Linked DNA regions of Alligator mississippiensis. The protein of the gene in region 2 purifies or fractionates together with the protein of the main gene of each other region. This does not show direct contact. Links are inferred from orthologs where the notes say so. Each region holds a gene or a part of one and is shown on either strand. Other genes may lie near its edges.

Evidence for each region.
Region 1: the proteins of FYB1 (region 2) and LCP2 purify together in Homo sapiens (co-immunoprecipitation; 6 studies listed by BioGRID and IntAct, with this or other methods). This does not show direct contact. The link is inferred for Alligator mississippiensis from reciprocal best matches to the Homo sapiens genes FYB1 and LCP2.

What each region holds. Positions count from the first base shown.
Region 1 is NC_081832.1:49,569,573-49,576,509, forward strand, and holds the start of LCP2 (lymphocyte cytosolic protein 2), read left to right. Parts: upstream 1-3,927; 5' UTR 3,928-4,155; coding exon 4,156-4,233; intron 4,234-6,937. UniProt on the Homo sapiens protein: Adapter protein primarily involved in signaling pathways within T-cells, as well as other immune cells such as platelets, mast cells, and natural killer (NK) cells.
Region 2 is NC_081826.1:276,867,054-276,874,811, forward strand, and holds the start of FYB1 (FYN-binding protein 1), read left to right. Parts: upstream 1-4,652; 5' UTR 4,653-4,787; intron 4,788-7,758. UniProt on the Homo sapiens protein: Acts as an adapter protein of the FYN and LCP2 signaling cascades in T-cells. May play a role in linking T-cell signaling to remodeling of the actin cytoskeleton. Modulates the expression of IL2. Involved in platelet activation.

The sequences.
Region 1 (6,937 bases), on a different chromosome or scaffold from region 2:
CACACTTCAAGAGGGATGTGGCTAGCATTGAGAGGGTCCAGAGGAGGGCCACTTGCATGGTAAAGGGGCAGCGGGTCAGGACCTATGAAGAGAGGCTAAAGGGCCTGAATCTATGCAGCCTCCACAAGAGAAGGCTGAGAGGGGATCTGGTGGCCATTTATAAACTCACCAGGGGGGACCAGCAGAAATTGGGTGAAGCCCTGTTTTCTCGGGCACCACTGGGGGTTACTAGGAATAATGGCCACAAACTGTTAGAGAGAAGGTTCATCAGGAGACATTACTTTATGGTTAGGGCTGCCAGGCTCTGGAACGGACTCCCAAGGGACGTGGTACAATCTCCTCCCCTGGGGATCTTCAAGAGGAGGCTAGACAGAGATTTGACTGGGGTGTTATGACCCCGGCACTCATTCCTGCCCAGGGCAGGGGGTCAGACCTGATGATCTGTTTAGGTCCCTTCCGACCCTAAGCACCATGATACTATGAAACTAAGGGTAAGCAAGCGATTACTAGACAGCGGAAAGAAACTGATAGATAAGAAAAGTTACAGGTCATCACAGAAGTAGAGTTCCATATAGTGATTATGAAGGGATAGCTAGAAATATGTAACAATATAAAGATATCCAACTGGTGTAAAAAACAAGGATTCTTTAGTGTGCGTTGTATTAATGTTTGTAACATAGAATAAAGGGGATTACATTAAGAAAGGGAAAATTATGACAAATTCAAAAAACCCTTCAAGTCAGATGCAACTGAGGATGGAACAGTGGAGGAAGAGCGGAGGAAGATCTGTTAGTTGGAGAGTATTAAAACTAAATTGGTCAAAAGAAAAAAGACAAAATGTCCAACTCTGTAGGGTTGTGGAGTTTTACTTCATGTTAATTTAAAGATTTATGAGCTTCATGTGTGCAATGAGACAGCTCTGGAAAAATGAAAATGTAAACCAATGTGTTGTGGAAAAAGTCATTATGAAAGCAGTTAGACATGAGTTCCATCTTCCAATAAGGTCCATCCACGATGTAATCTTCTGCCTTCCTCAGACAGGAAAGAGAGGGTGGAAAGTGTTAATGCTTTTTTAACCCTGAAGAGCGTGGGCAGTATGGGCTTCCTTTTTGAACTGTCAGCTCCAAAACACTAAGAATCTCAAGTACTATTTAAACCAGTGTAGCTATAACCAATGGGCAATTTCATTGTTAGCCTATATTTGTAAGTACTTGAAGAGTTACCCTCTAAAGTGAAGTTCATTATCAGTGGAGGTTTTTCAGATAAAAAGCTATAAAATTATCTCAGTCTAGTAACCAGTAATAGTTACTATGAGTAAATTGGTTACGTTCCCACTCCAAGAAGAATACTACTACTGGTGAAATATCCAGTAGTAACCAATTAACACAGTGGTGATGTGATTATCAGGAGCTGATACTAGGGATGGGAGGGTGGGGTTGCGGGGACAAGGTTTCTGGCAGGGAACTGAAACAATGCCAAATTAAACTGTAGTGGTGAATTATCCGACAGGCTAATTAACTAGAGTTTACTGTATTTCTCACTTTTAAGGGACTGCAGGTCTTCACAAAAGGGTGACATTCTGAGATGCAAAATTCATGCAACATAGCATACTGTGAAAGGGATGTTATCTTGTACTCTCCTCTCCTGAAGACTTCACATGCCTTTTTCCTTCTTTTTTGAAGGTTCTTCACTTCTCTTTGCTTGTGGACATACAAAATTTGAGTGGGTTTGGGGATGTGACTGATCAACTCTATTTCCCCTTCTACTGCTTTCTACTTGCCCCATCTCATTCATCCACCCACTATTGTTTCCACAGCTATCGCTCGGACTACCTCTCTCAAGGATCAGTCTATGCTCCTTCCTACCAGTTAAGCCCTCCAAGCTGCCTTAGCCACCAACCCCTCTGGGCCTGCTTAGATCCTTCAACCTTTCCTTCTCTTCCCAGTACTTAAATCCACTCTTTAAATCTCCTCTTTAATCCTTATTTTGGTTACAATATCCTGCCATCATGGAACTCAACCTGGTCTACTCACCTTTTCACTAAGGTCCAAAGATAAAGACGAGTCAGATAGGTGAGGTGAAAGGGGAAGAATTATTATTGTGAGGAACAACAGTGACTACAGAGAAATAGGGAGAGAAGACAACAAAGTAGCTATGGAAATGGTGAGAGGGCAGAAATTATGAGTAATTAACTGAAATCTAAAGCTGGAAATAAAGGAAAAAATATATCTTTTATTTCAGTTACCACGTGACTGAATACCCTGTCCCACATTGTAATGGTGGGCAGTTGACACACACACACACACAGACACACTGTTCACACTGGGCGGGCAACCTTTTTATCTGAGCAAGTGACCAACATTTTCCACTGATAAAATACAACAGGAAATTGCATGATAAACAATTACATTAATGCAAAAATTTGGATGAAAATTTCAACAGGAAATTCAATATTATGTTTCCCCAGCAGCCTGTATTTGTCTATGATGTCGTATGCATTTATCAAAACGAACAAACCACTATTCAAAGAAAAAAACCCAGACATCTTTACACAGATCAGGTGTAACATTTTTTCAAAATGTGTGAAGTGTGCAGGTATACATGACAGAGGTATACTGTATAGCAAACACTATTCCTACTCAGGCCCATAAACTACCAGACCTCATCCCTGTCACTAAACCATGACTGGATAATACTTCTACAGCACCTTGTATCAGCATGACTTTGGGAGGAAATTCTGTTTTGGGGCAAGGGGAAGGGAGAATAAAGTAAATTTTCTCAAAGTATCTTTTTAATGGAATGTGTTTAAAGCCGCTAGGAAGTTTGGATTATCAGTCTCAGTAAGGAAGCTGAAAGTGGGAAGTGTAGATGAGTTAAAGGAACACAGTAGGATCAATTTATCATAACTCTGGGGTCTGTCACATAACCCCTATCATCTCATGCAGAGGTATAATGGGACAGTTTTGCACCCTGGGCAGCAGTAGCATACAAGGCAGAAGCTACAACTGAGCTGCTAGCAATATAACAACCTAGAGAGCAGCAGCAATGGCTGCTGTTTTTGCACACTCCTGAAGTCAATACCTCAGGTTGGTTCCCTGGTTGCCCGCTTTTAATTAGGCTACCAATCTCAGAATTCAATACTTTATTGCTCAGGCTCAGGGTGGTGACCACTAGGCCTGCATATAAAATGCAGGAGAAATCATTACAATTTAATTTTAAAAATTCATTTAAACCTGGAACTTCTAAATATTTCCTCCGGTTCTAATTATGACTTTATATCACTGAGGTACTGTTTATGTATTGACTCCATAACTATATCTGAGCATCTATCCTCATGCACAAATGTAACACTAACTTGGTACTGTACCCTTGTGTATAAAAAATACCATACGCTCAGACTATGTACATATGATTGTAGAAAATACATGGAACTATTTCAGAGACTACTGCTAAGAGCTTGCATAACTGCATGAGCCAGAGGAATTTGTTTTATGTGTTATTTTACATGTTATTATTTTTACACGTTAGAAAGGTAAGGGAGTATTTATTAATATAAGTAGTTAATCTGTCATCTGGGGTGACAAGAAATGCAAAAGAAAGTTCCTTTATGTAGGTATTTCCTCATTTTTTTAGGTATCGCATGGCTACATTTGCACTTAAGCAAATTTAACTCAAAAGCAACAGTCTTTTTCAGGAATCCTCATGTATATACATGCACACAATACAGAGTCTAGGTACCAGTATATTTATATGGGTATCTCATGTAAATACACAACCCTTCCCACTTAAATTCAGATGAAAAGGGCTCATACAGATTTCACTTACATGCAGCAGGCAGAATATTTTAAACATGTTATTGCGCTTCCTTGTTTACTTATTTAGATTCACATATAAAGGAAGTGGTAAGCCTGACTAGCTGACAAGTTTTCTGAGAAGAGACCATTTTGTACTGAGAGGAAGCAGGGGCTCTCTTGAATGCTCTTACACCATAATTCAGAAATAAGAAGTCAGTATTTAACAAAAGAAGTTCTGAGCATGTATTAGGCAAGGAGATTATTAAACTTGCTGGAAGTGGTCTCAGACAAGAAGTCTATGCTGTTTCATCAATACTCTTGGCATGAAAATTCTGTAACCTCCTAGGAAATTAAAACTAAAATGGATTTGCGAAACATTCCTTATCGCTCAGATGTGGCTGCTTGGAACCCAGATGAACTAGCAGAGTACTTTAAAACAGTAAGTTTCACTGTGTTTTGCCCTCGAATAGTTGAAAAACAAATGACTGTAACATACTTTAAGCATGTGTGTGTGTGTACATACACACACACACATATATATAGTATGTATATGTATAGATATAGATATAGAACCCTGGGGAATCCTTCTTGATACCTCCTCTCAACTAGACATAACAAGTCTATAGATATAGATATAACCTGTCTATATATATAGATATATATGTATTACATGTTATGTCTAGTTGAGAGGAGGTATCAAGAAGGATTCCCCAGGGTTCTATCCTGGGTCTGGTATTGTTTAATATCTTCATTAATGATTTGGATGACAGGACTGAGTGTGTGCTTAGCAAATTTATGGATAACACCAAGCTTTGGGTGGAATTTCAGACACTCTGGAGGGCAAAGCTAGAATCCAGGATGACCTGGACAGACTGGAGAAATGGTACAGAATCAGTCAGATGAAACTGAACAGGGACAAGTGCAATGTCCTACACTTGGGACAGAATAACTGCATGCACAAATACAGACTTCATTACTGTAGGCTTCAGTAGTGCAGAGGCTTCAGTACTGCAGAGAAAGACCTGTGGATTACAGTAGACCATAAACTGAATATAAAGCAACAATGCGCCCTCATTACAAAACAATCCAACAGTATCCTGGGTTTGTATAAACTGGAGTATCACTTGGAAATCAAGAAAAGGGATTCTTCCACTCTATTCAGCAATAGTGAGAGGATTTACATAAATTAGTGTGCCTAGTTTTGGGCCCTGCACTTCAAGAAGGATATGGACAGTTTGAAAAGAGTCCAGCGCAGGGCAACAAAATTGATCGGGGCCTTGACAGACCAGACTTATGAGAAAAGATTGAAAAAAGTAGGGTTACTTAGCCTGAAGAAGAGGAGCCTGAGGTGGGATGGGGTGGGAGGGAGGGGGTGAAATTTGATCACAGTCATGGAATATCAGAAGGGCGATTATAGAGAGGATGGATGTAAATGGGCTCTTCTCTGGGGCTGTAGGGGACAGGACTTGGAGCAATGACCCCAAATTGCAGCAGGGGAAATTTAAGTTGGAGATTAGGAGGAACTTTTTGAGTACAGGGGTGTTCAGGCTTTGGAACAGGCTACCTAGAGAAGTCATGGAATCTCCATCCTTGGAAATGTCAAAAGCAGGTTAGACAGACACTTGGCAGAGATAGTTTAGTCAGAGATGATCCTATTTTGTGCAGGAGTCTAGCCTAGATTACCTTATGAGGTCCTTTCCAGCTCTACTTTCCTATGAGCCTACTCAGATGCACAAACGCACATTATTTAAAACAAGAGCACAATCTGTGGCACAAATAATTTCAAATGATCTTTTAGAAATCAAAACATGCCCCATAAAAAGTCATTGTATTCTATATTGATCTCATGAAGACTTTTTTAAATTCTGAAAATATATATGTTAAATTAATAGCAAAGAAACTAATAGCTTCTAAAGGAAGCAAGAAAAAAATGCTTTGTAAGGATGTCTCATTTAGTTTGGTGCTGTAAAAATTATACGCTTAACACAGTAACTCTAGTTTTAAAGGTAGAAAAGTGTTAAATGTTGGTCATATATGGTGTCTCCAGTAAGCTAATTCCTGTATCTAAATATCTTCAGTTTTAGGACCCACTATAAACTTGAGTGCATTATAAAACTGTGTTATAGCCTAGAGCTCAATTTAAAGCTATAGTACCTTGTGTTTGCTGGACTATAGGGAAAACCTGACAGGAACCCTGACACAAAGTGTTTCAGTATTTGTACTGCGATTTTTGGAAGCCTACAGAGTGTTAGATTCTTAAATTCACTAAGGATTTGCTACTCAGATCACTTATGCTCCTTTAAAAAGCCAGCCTGGAAATCCACATACCTAGCCTTTTAATGACCATAAAATGAAGCCTGCTTCTTTGTCAGGCAACACTCCCAATTAGTTCCGTAAACTTCCTTGGGACTTTCCATATGAATAAGTACTGCTCTGTCTAAGCAAGGGCGGCAGACTATTTGCCCTAGAGATTTATTCCAGTGCTTTCAGTAGATATTAATTCCCAAAGACAAATATATTTTGCTGTCTCACAACAGAACAATTCATAACTATATTTCCGCTGCTTTTTTATAAAAAAATGGAAGAAAAATTCTTGGAAGTTTTGATTCAAATAAAAAGGAGGGCAGCTTCAGGATCCAAGTGGACCTGTTCCTCACCCCAGTTCCCCCACGTATCATGTTCTCCACACTATTTCCTTAAGAGAGAGGGCCTTCCTCAGAATTCCTAGGCAGAATTTTTTAGCTACAGTAGCATTTCCTGTAATGCACTAGGCCAAAGGAGTGGAAGCCTCAAACCCCTCATTGCTTATGACCTCTTTCAGCTTAGCACTCTATAAAAAAAATTATAACATAATGGGCCAAATTCACTGCTGCTTTACATTCTGTGGAATCTTCCTGGCACTGGTGAGTTTGAACAGGGATCATATGAGTAGAGAATTTGGTTCATTCATGTTAAAAATTATATCTTTTCTCTTCCACGTATTTATTTCTCTATAGCTCTACAACGTTCCCTAATTTTTAATATTCAGCAGAAATATCCATCTGTGCTTCCATTTTAGCTAAGAATTACATTTACAAAAAAAATGAAATAAAAATCCAAAAACTTCCATCTGAAATTATAAACCAGATTGACCTAAATGTTTC
Region 2 (7,758 bases):
CAAGAAAGAGGGGCATAGGCGATGCATAGGGGGGGACCCCCCTGAGATTGGCCGCCGTCGAAACCGCTTCCGGCTTCTGGGGGTGGTTGCTGCCCTCCCCCTGTCAACACAGCTGTCGGCAGCTGCAGGTGGTCCCTGCTTGCCACTTGACACCACCAACAGAGCAGACGGCAGCTGCAAGGGGCCCCCGCTTGCTGCCTGCTGCTCGCCACCCTGCCCCCCAACTGCCGACACTGCCGGCACCAGCTGTGGGCAGTGCCCACTTGCCCCTCATCCCTCACCACTGACGGTGCGGGCCATGGCTGCAGGTGGTCCCCGCTCATCACTCACTGCCATGGTGCCCCCCAGTCATTCTGGGAGGCACCAGTCATTCATGAAGAGGGGAAAAGGGGGAGAAGGAATTGCATCCAGTCTGAGGACTGGCGATAATTGGTTCTTACCTCCTGGTCCAGCTGTCCAACGCTTCAAAAAGAGAGCAAGCATTTTTTTGCCTGCTTGCTAATGGAGCCATCTCCTGGCCTAAAGATGGCAACTGTTATCACAGCTGACTATGTGAGCTAGTTCTTCCCTCTTGTTTTTGTTTCTGTTTTGATTGGCTGAGGAAATGGACTTGGCAGAACCAGCAGTTTGTGAATAAATTCAGACTATTTTATTACAACAGTTAATTTCAATTTTAAGAAGTTTAAGAGAAAAGGTTCTGGACTTTGTAATGTATAGATTTCCCCTGTTGCTTTTAGATTTATTGTTGGGTAGGATAATTAAGGTATTAAAGTTTTAAACCATGAGAATAAGCCCTAAAATTATCAAAGTATTACTAGCAATAGGTATCAGTAAATAACACCCAAGTACCCCATAATCAACTACACTAGGTGGTTTGATTTGGTGAATGGCAGGGTAGTAGAGGATTACATGGGAGTGGAGAGCTGCCTGAATCCCTCATCTCTTCATTTTTCAACTGTTTTAAAGCTTAACTCTGGTTTATAACATTTTTGGTCAACTGATAGCTTTGGAAGGATGTGGAAGCAGGAGGGTGATAGTTGTATGTTCACCCCTGAATGGTCTTTAAGATTCCTTTTTTGGCTTATTTCTAAGATAAATATCAGGAAAGTTCTGATTTACTTCAATCTTCTTTATTTTAAAATATTTTTAAAGTAAATATAAGCACCACTTTATGTGTTATGTGACCTAGGTATTAACAGCCACCACAATATAGGGCTGATGTCTCAAATTTGAGTTAAATATCTGGGAAAGATAATGGCAAGAAATTTCAAGATAGTGTTTATGGATAAAGTGTAACCGAGCTATATATGAAGTCCTTTCACCTAGGAAGTCGGAGGGAAAACTTTGGAGGAACATAAAGCTAGAATAGACCTCAGGGCCGCAGCCAGACAAGTGAGGATGTGTGGTTCCCTGGGGACAAGTAGCAGTGGCACACTTTGTGCTGCCAATACCTGTCCCCAAGGAACACCTGCGCGCACACACTTTGCCACACGCACTTTGGTGTGCGGCAAGTTACCTCAGGCGGGGTAGGGCAGAGGTTCCCAAGCACCAGGCTGTGGCCCAGTTGCAGGCCATAAAGGGTTGGCTGCCAGGTCGTGGCAGGAGCCCCCTGCTCAGACCCCCATCTGTCCACCAAAGCAAGCAGCTTCCGCTGCCAGCAGTCATGTGTGGGGCTAAAGCTGGCAGCGGGGCAGCCCCAGGAGGTAGGCAGTTGGCTCCGCCACTCCCGTGCTGGTCTGTACTATAAAAAAGGTTGGGAACCACTGGGATAGGGCCCAGTACTGGACCCAGCAGTCTTACCTTGGGTCCTGAGGGCCTCCTTGGGCTGCAGCAGTGGTGATTCCAGTGCAGAGAGCCTGGCAGGCAGCCGGGGTATGACTCCAGGTGGCCCAGCTCCACTTTTGAATGGCGTGTGCTGCCCATGCTTGTATTCCTCTACTGCAGGGGTAAAAAAACATGGCAGAAAAGAAAGTGGAGCAACGCACACATGGGCAGCACAGCCTTGCAGTGTGGAGAATATCTAAATGTGCAGTATGTGGCACCACAGATGTGTTTGCAGCGCCACATACCACACGGCTGCACTTGTCCAGACACAGCCCAGGAGATCACTTGGTCCAACCCCATCTTCTCAAGCAAGGCAGGATCATCTATCCCATTACAGTCTTATACATAGAAATGACCAGTAATGGGGCTTCCACAGCCCCTTTTGACAAACTACTCCAGTGCTTAACTAACCAAAGAGCACAAAAGGAAGCTAAGATACCCTGCCTTCAGTAGAAGCCCATGGTAGGTGCATCTTTCAAAATCTTACCTATGCAGGCCAAAGGTGGGTGAAATGTGCAAAGAATAAGAGAAAGTAACTAGACTGAGGGGCACCTTGAATGAGCCACAGCACAGGTGGGTTGTGTGGCACCTTGTTAGAAAGTCACTGTAACGGGTCGTTCCTCCTTTATTCTGGCCCAAAAGCCAGTTTCCTCACAAAGGCCAGTCGGCTCTTAGGGTGCAGACAGAAGTGCAGCTCGCCCCTGTAACTCAGAATGATTTCTGCAAAGCGTTCTGAGTCACAACGTTACCTCAGACCAAACAGACGTTCACTGCTGGTTCCAGGAGGGAGGGGATCTAGCCGGGCTGGGAGCCTGCAGTCAGGTTCTTATAGCAATGGCCACTGCTCTCTGCCAGGGCTCGCTGTTCGCAGACTAGGAAGGGGAAAGGCAGTGGAGGGAGTTCATTCTTGGGACACCCCAGACAGTGCTAGAGGGTGGGGTGGGTGAATTGGAGCCCCCCCACTCCTAGGGGGGACTCCAATACCGCCACCCCACCCTCCAAGGGGTGCTCAAAACCCTCCAGACTGAACTCCCTCCACACCCTTTCCCCCCCCCCCATTCTGCAAACACCCACAAGCTGAGAGCCCTGCAGCCACAAGTTACAAATGACCCCTCATACAATGCTTATCTGATCCCTCATACAATGCTGGGTCATATTTTCACCCAGTCAGCCATTTTGAAGCTTTCTGCAGGTGTGCATTTGTGTTTGGTCGCTGCTACAAGTTGCTTTCTGTGGCCAGATTAGGTGAAAACTGTTGATTCTGTCTGCACCCCACAGTTTCAATTTCTAGTCCATTTATTTTACATGTGGAAAGCTTTCTCCCACAGCAAACAGAGCATGCAACAACAAAAGCAAACATCCAAATAACAAAAAAAAAGGTAAAACCTCTGGTCTTTCCTCAGACCGAGAAAGAGAGAGAGAGGTTATCAAGGGGCTGTGCTTTTCACTCAGCGTACCAGCCTCCTCTAACCCCCTGCAGCCGGGCTCCAGCCCCTGCGCCATGCACCTTGTTATAGTCAATAAGATTAATTAGCAATTTGGGATTGGACAGCTGTAACAGGGGAAAGAGCTAGTTTGGTGTCTGAGTTACATGGGAAAGCTACCGAAGCCAGGCCTTTCCACCCCTGACACAGCACAATTTGCATGAATTCTGGCAAAATATTTGCATTCTCTTGCACATTTTTCTTCTCAGGCAGAAAGGGAAGGCTGTATGAGAGTGGAGAAGGGGAAGTACAGCAGTATGTGCTAATTCAAGTTGTTCCTCCTGCCTTTCCCCTTCCTCTACCTCCTTCTCACCAGTCAGCTGCTGAGGGAAACAGCATGTGGGGAAAAGCATTTCTGCAGCAGAGAAACTGGAGCAGCTTCTGCTTCTCTGGTAAAGCTACTTCTGCCCCTCCCTAGTTCCTTCTCTGCTTGTGTGTGAAGCTTTCTGATCAAGGGGCTCCTAAAGTTAATCTAGGAAGTCAGCTTGGAGAAGGGCTGTGTACATGGGCAGGACAAGCCAACAGCCCCTCATACCCTCACGGGGCTAAGTGGGGTCCTGGCGCAACACCTCTTCCCATGTGAAGGCTGTAAGTATTTGCTCTGCAGTGCCGGTCTTCTACCACAAGGTCCTGCTGCGGTGCTGCTGAGCTCAGCTTCTGCTCTCTTCTGCCCTCCCCTAGCTGAAAGAAACAGCCTGGAGGGGTGGGAACCGGCAGCCCTATCGTGTAGGTCTTGCTAACTACAGTAGATCCACCCTCCCGGACACCCCTCCAAACTCAAGCAACCAGCATCACCTCCCAGTAACTACCTCAGCAGCACCATGCTCCCCACTGTGCTTACATCCACCTATGTCTTCTCAAGTTCCACCCTAGCACAGGTGCCAGGTACCTTCCAGGGTCCCTACACAGCTACCCTCAATACCCTAGTGTGCCCTCCATCACCCCAGACTCCTTCCGCTCACCCTGGCAAAACCTGCCAAATTCCCTATAGCAGCAGGTTCTTTTGTCTTGGAGCAGGGTATGGGGGCCATAAAATGGTGCATTGTGGTTCAGTGCAGATAATCTACATGATAAGTGATGGAATGATTTGCCTACATGGTCACATGTGGAGGTGCAGCTGTGGTGAAGGGGCACCCTGTGTAATTGTAATTGCTGTGGGGGTGACAATGACACCCATGTCCAGCAAACAGCGCAGTGCCTGGGAGTGGCAGTGGGGGGAGATACATACGTTCTCAAAGGAGACGCTGCATAAGGGTTTCATATCAAGAGGCAGAGACGTCATTAACTTTCATTTTTGGAAGTGTATCGGGTACATCTCATTCCAGTTGCTGAACGGTGTTTAACCAACACCTCCTGAATTTTTTTAAGGGTTTTCTACTCCCTTATGATGATCTATTAGGTGGGCTCCACGGCCCCATTCTCCTGGTCCAAACTCTGGTTTGCTGCACAGCAGTTTCAGTGTCAACTCTACTTCTGCTGGTAAGTACCCTGTGGAGGGGGCCTAGGGAAAGAGGGCTCGATAGCAACAAAGGGTGAAACTGATGGGAAGAGCCTGACCTACAGGCTATTGAACTTAACGGAACAAACCAAGTACTGTTAAAAGCCAAATAATGTGCATCCCCCTGCTTCCTCCCCACCCAAAGAAGAAAAGCTCAGAGAGAACATGCATTTTTCTCTAATCACTTTAATTGGGCTGCTCTTAAAGAGTCTCTTAAAACAAGTGATCAAGAGCCAGGTTTGCACTGGGAGTGAGGTGCAATGGCACAGAGCATTCCCTCAGCCAAAAAATAGGGGCCTGGTGCCAAAGGTGGATTCACAAACCCAGGTTAGGTGCCTAAGTTCCTTCTACTTTACGTGAGAAAGGTTAGGTGCAAGGACTCATCTTCAGAAGACTCAGTATGCTGAGTAGACAGACACATTAACCAGGCAATAGGAAATACTGGTGGGAGTGGTGTATTTGAAATTTTCCCTATATTCTGAATCAAGGCAGCCATTAGAGACCTATGTGAAACAGGGATTCAAAGCCCAACCCCACCTCTTAGACACAAATGTATCCTGCAGCTGAACTCTAGGCACCTAAGAAAGTTTGTAGTGAAAATGTAGGCTTTTATGGGGTCTTGAACACCTAAGGGAGTCAGACTGCTGGAGATCTATAAACTGCCCTCTTGGATTTAGATGCCTAAAATGGGACTGCAGTAAAATGTAGGCATCCAAGTTTCTCTGTGAATCTTGCCCAATGTCATTTTCAAATTGACACTGTCACTTCTTAGGCTTTAAAATGATCAGTGCTTATAAGCAGTAGGTAAAGAGAAGCACATAGAGATTATAGATCTCAAGTATGGGAATTGCACATGTTGGCTCCAACCTGATCCTTCAGTGTCATAGGCTCAGGGAGCCTGTAGTTGCCCATTGCTGCCAACAGGGCTCAAGGCAGGTACTGTTGTCTTTCCATGTGCCTCACATTGCATTATGAGGTTGGGCCTTAGAACCTAATCCCACGCTGATTAAACTCAAAAGGAGGCTTCTCATTGACTTGAATGGGTTAAAATTAGGTCTTTACCGATATCCCTCAATAGGAGGATGATGTCTGCTGGGGGCAGTGAGGGGATTACTAGTGAGTTTTAAGGTGGCTGAGGAATCCAATCTGTGCTCTGCAAGTTTTTCCATAGACATGACAAGTGGTGCCTTCGGGCGGGCGCAGCTGTTGGCCAGGATGTTGTGTACTTTCCTTCCTCCTCTGCCGTTTCTCCGCGTCCTGAGCAAGACAGTTCTCTTCAAAGTGAGCTATAGCTTGATGTATGGTGCAGCAGCCAGCAATTCCCAATTTGTAGGATTGATGCCACCCTTCTTAAAGTGTGCTTTCAGGGTGTCCATGTAGCGCTTCCTCTGTCCTCCGTGGATCTTTGTACTATGACTAAATTGAGAGAAGAGGACTTGCTTTGGGAGATGAGTGTCAGATATCCATACACAGTGACCAGCCCAGCAGAGTTGATGTATCGTGATCTTTGCCTCGATGCTGGCTATGGTAGCTGCAGAGAGGGTGTTGGCATTGGTTCAGTGGTCTTCTCATCTAATGCAAAGGATCTTTCTGAGGCAATGCTCATGGAACCAATATATAAGCTTATTGATATATAAGCCAGGTAAAATGTACTTGCTGCCTTGAATATGCCTCTTCTTAAGGAAGACCACCTAATCAAATCTACTTAACTGACAGCACTTTAAATGAGGGACATCTTTTTTTTTACATAGTTCTGTTTATTTTTAGTTTATCAGCATTATAAGTGTCCAAGCTACTTCTGCTTTGCCAGATAATTTCAGTCATCTCATGCTAAGGAAACTGCCCAAAATAGTTTGTCGCATTCATAATGGAAATGGTGGAGGTAGCTGCATGGTGTTGCAGCGGAACCCAAGAGAGCAGTGGAATAGGATGGATCAGAAGCAAATGTATCCACTTGGGCTTCAGTCATAGCTTTTCAGGCTGAAATGAGTAGGTCAGCAAAGACAATGATTTGAAATGAAAATGTAAGCAGGAGGTGAAAACTGAGAATTGTGTTTGTAAGAATGCATGCCAACTGTGACATACTGATTGTTGTGTATGTGTACCACTACCTTCTGCTGGACAGAATGACAGGCTTAAGTGAGGGCACATGAGGGATCATGTTCTCCACTGACTAAAGCTCAGTGAAAGTATAAATACAAACACTTCTGCAGCTAAAATAACATCTAGTAGCAAAGTCCTATGTATTTCTTTTCATCCAGAAGATCCTGACTCCTGTTTTCCTGCTAATTGTGAGTCTGTTTTATATAAGCAGCCAGTGACTTATCCCATTATACGTGTCCATACACATACATGTGCATATATATGCACCTACTTAGAGAAGTGGGGGCACATTTTTGGAGAGTAAAATACATACACCCTAACCATTACAATGTGGATGGTGCTGCCTTTTCTTTAGTAAAAGCAAACATAATGTGGATTGAAGGTTTTAATACCATATTCTACTACTTTACTTGACTTTGAGACGCGTATTTTATCTTCAGTTCCACTAGAGATATTTGAATATTGGAAAATAGGTTCTCAGCATCTGAGCTTGACCGACGATAATCTTTATAAACAATGTAAATACTGTATTATAAAAATAATTTAAAAGAGGAAGGGGGAGGGGGAGGCAGTGTTTCAGGGGAGAGCCTATTCATCAGCTGACAGAAATCCTACTTTGTAAAACAATTCTAAAACATCCTAACTCATTCTACCAAAACTTCTACCTGTAGACACCAGAACTTTGAATAATTCTCTTGGCATAATTTAATCAGGTAATTACTAAATTTAAACTTTTCGCAGAAGCTAAATACTCAAAACCCTTTAAAATGTCAGCCTAATGGAGGCTGTTACTCAGGAAACCTATTCCTGCTTGTGGAGGTGTAGATAACATGTATGATCTCTGAAGGA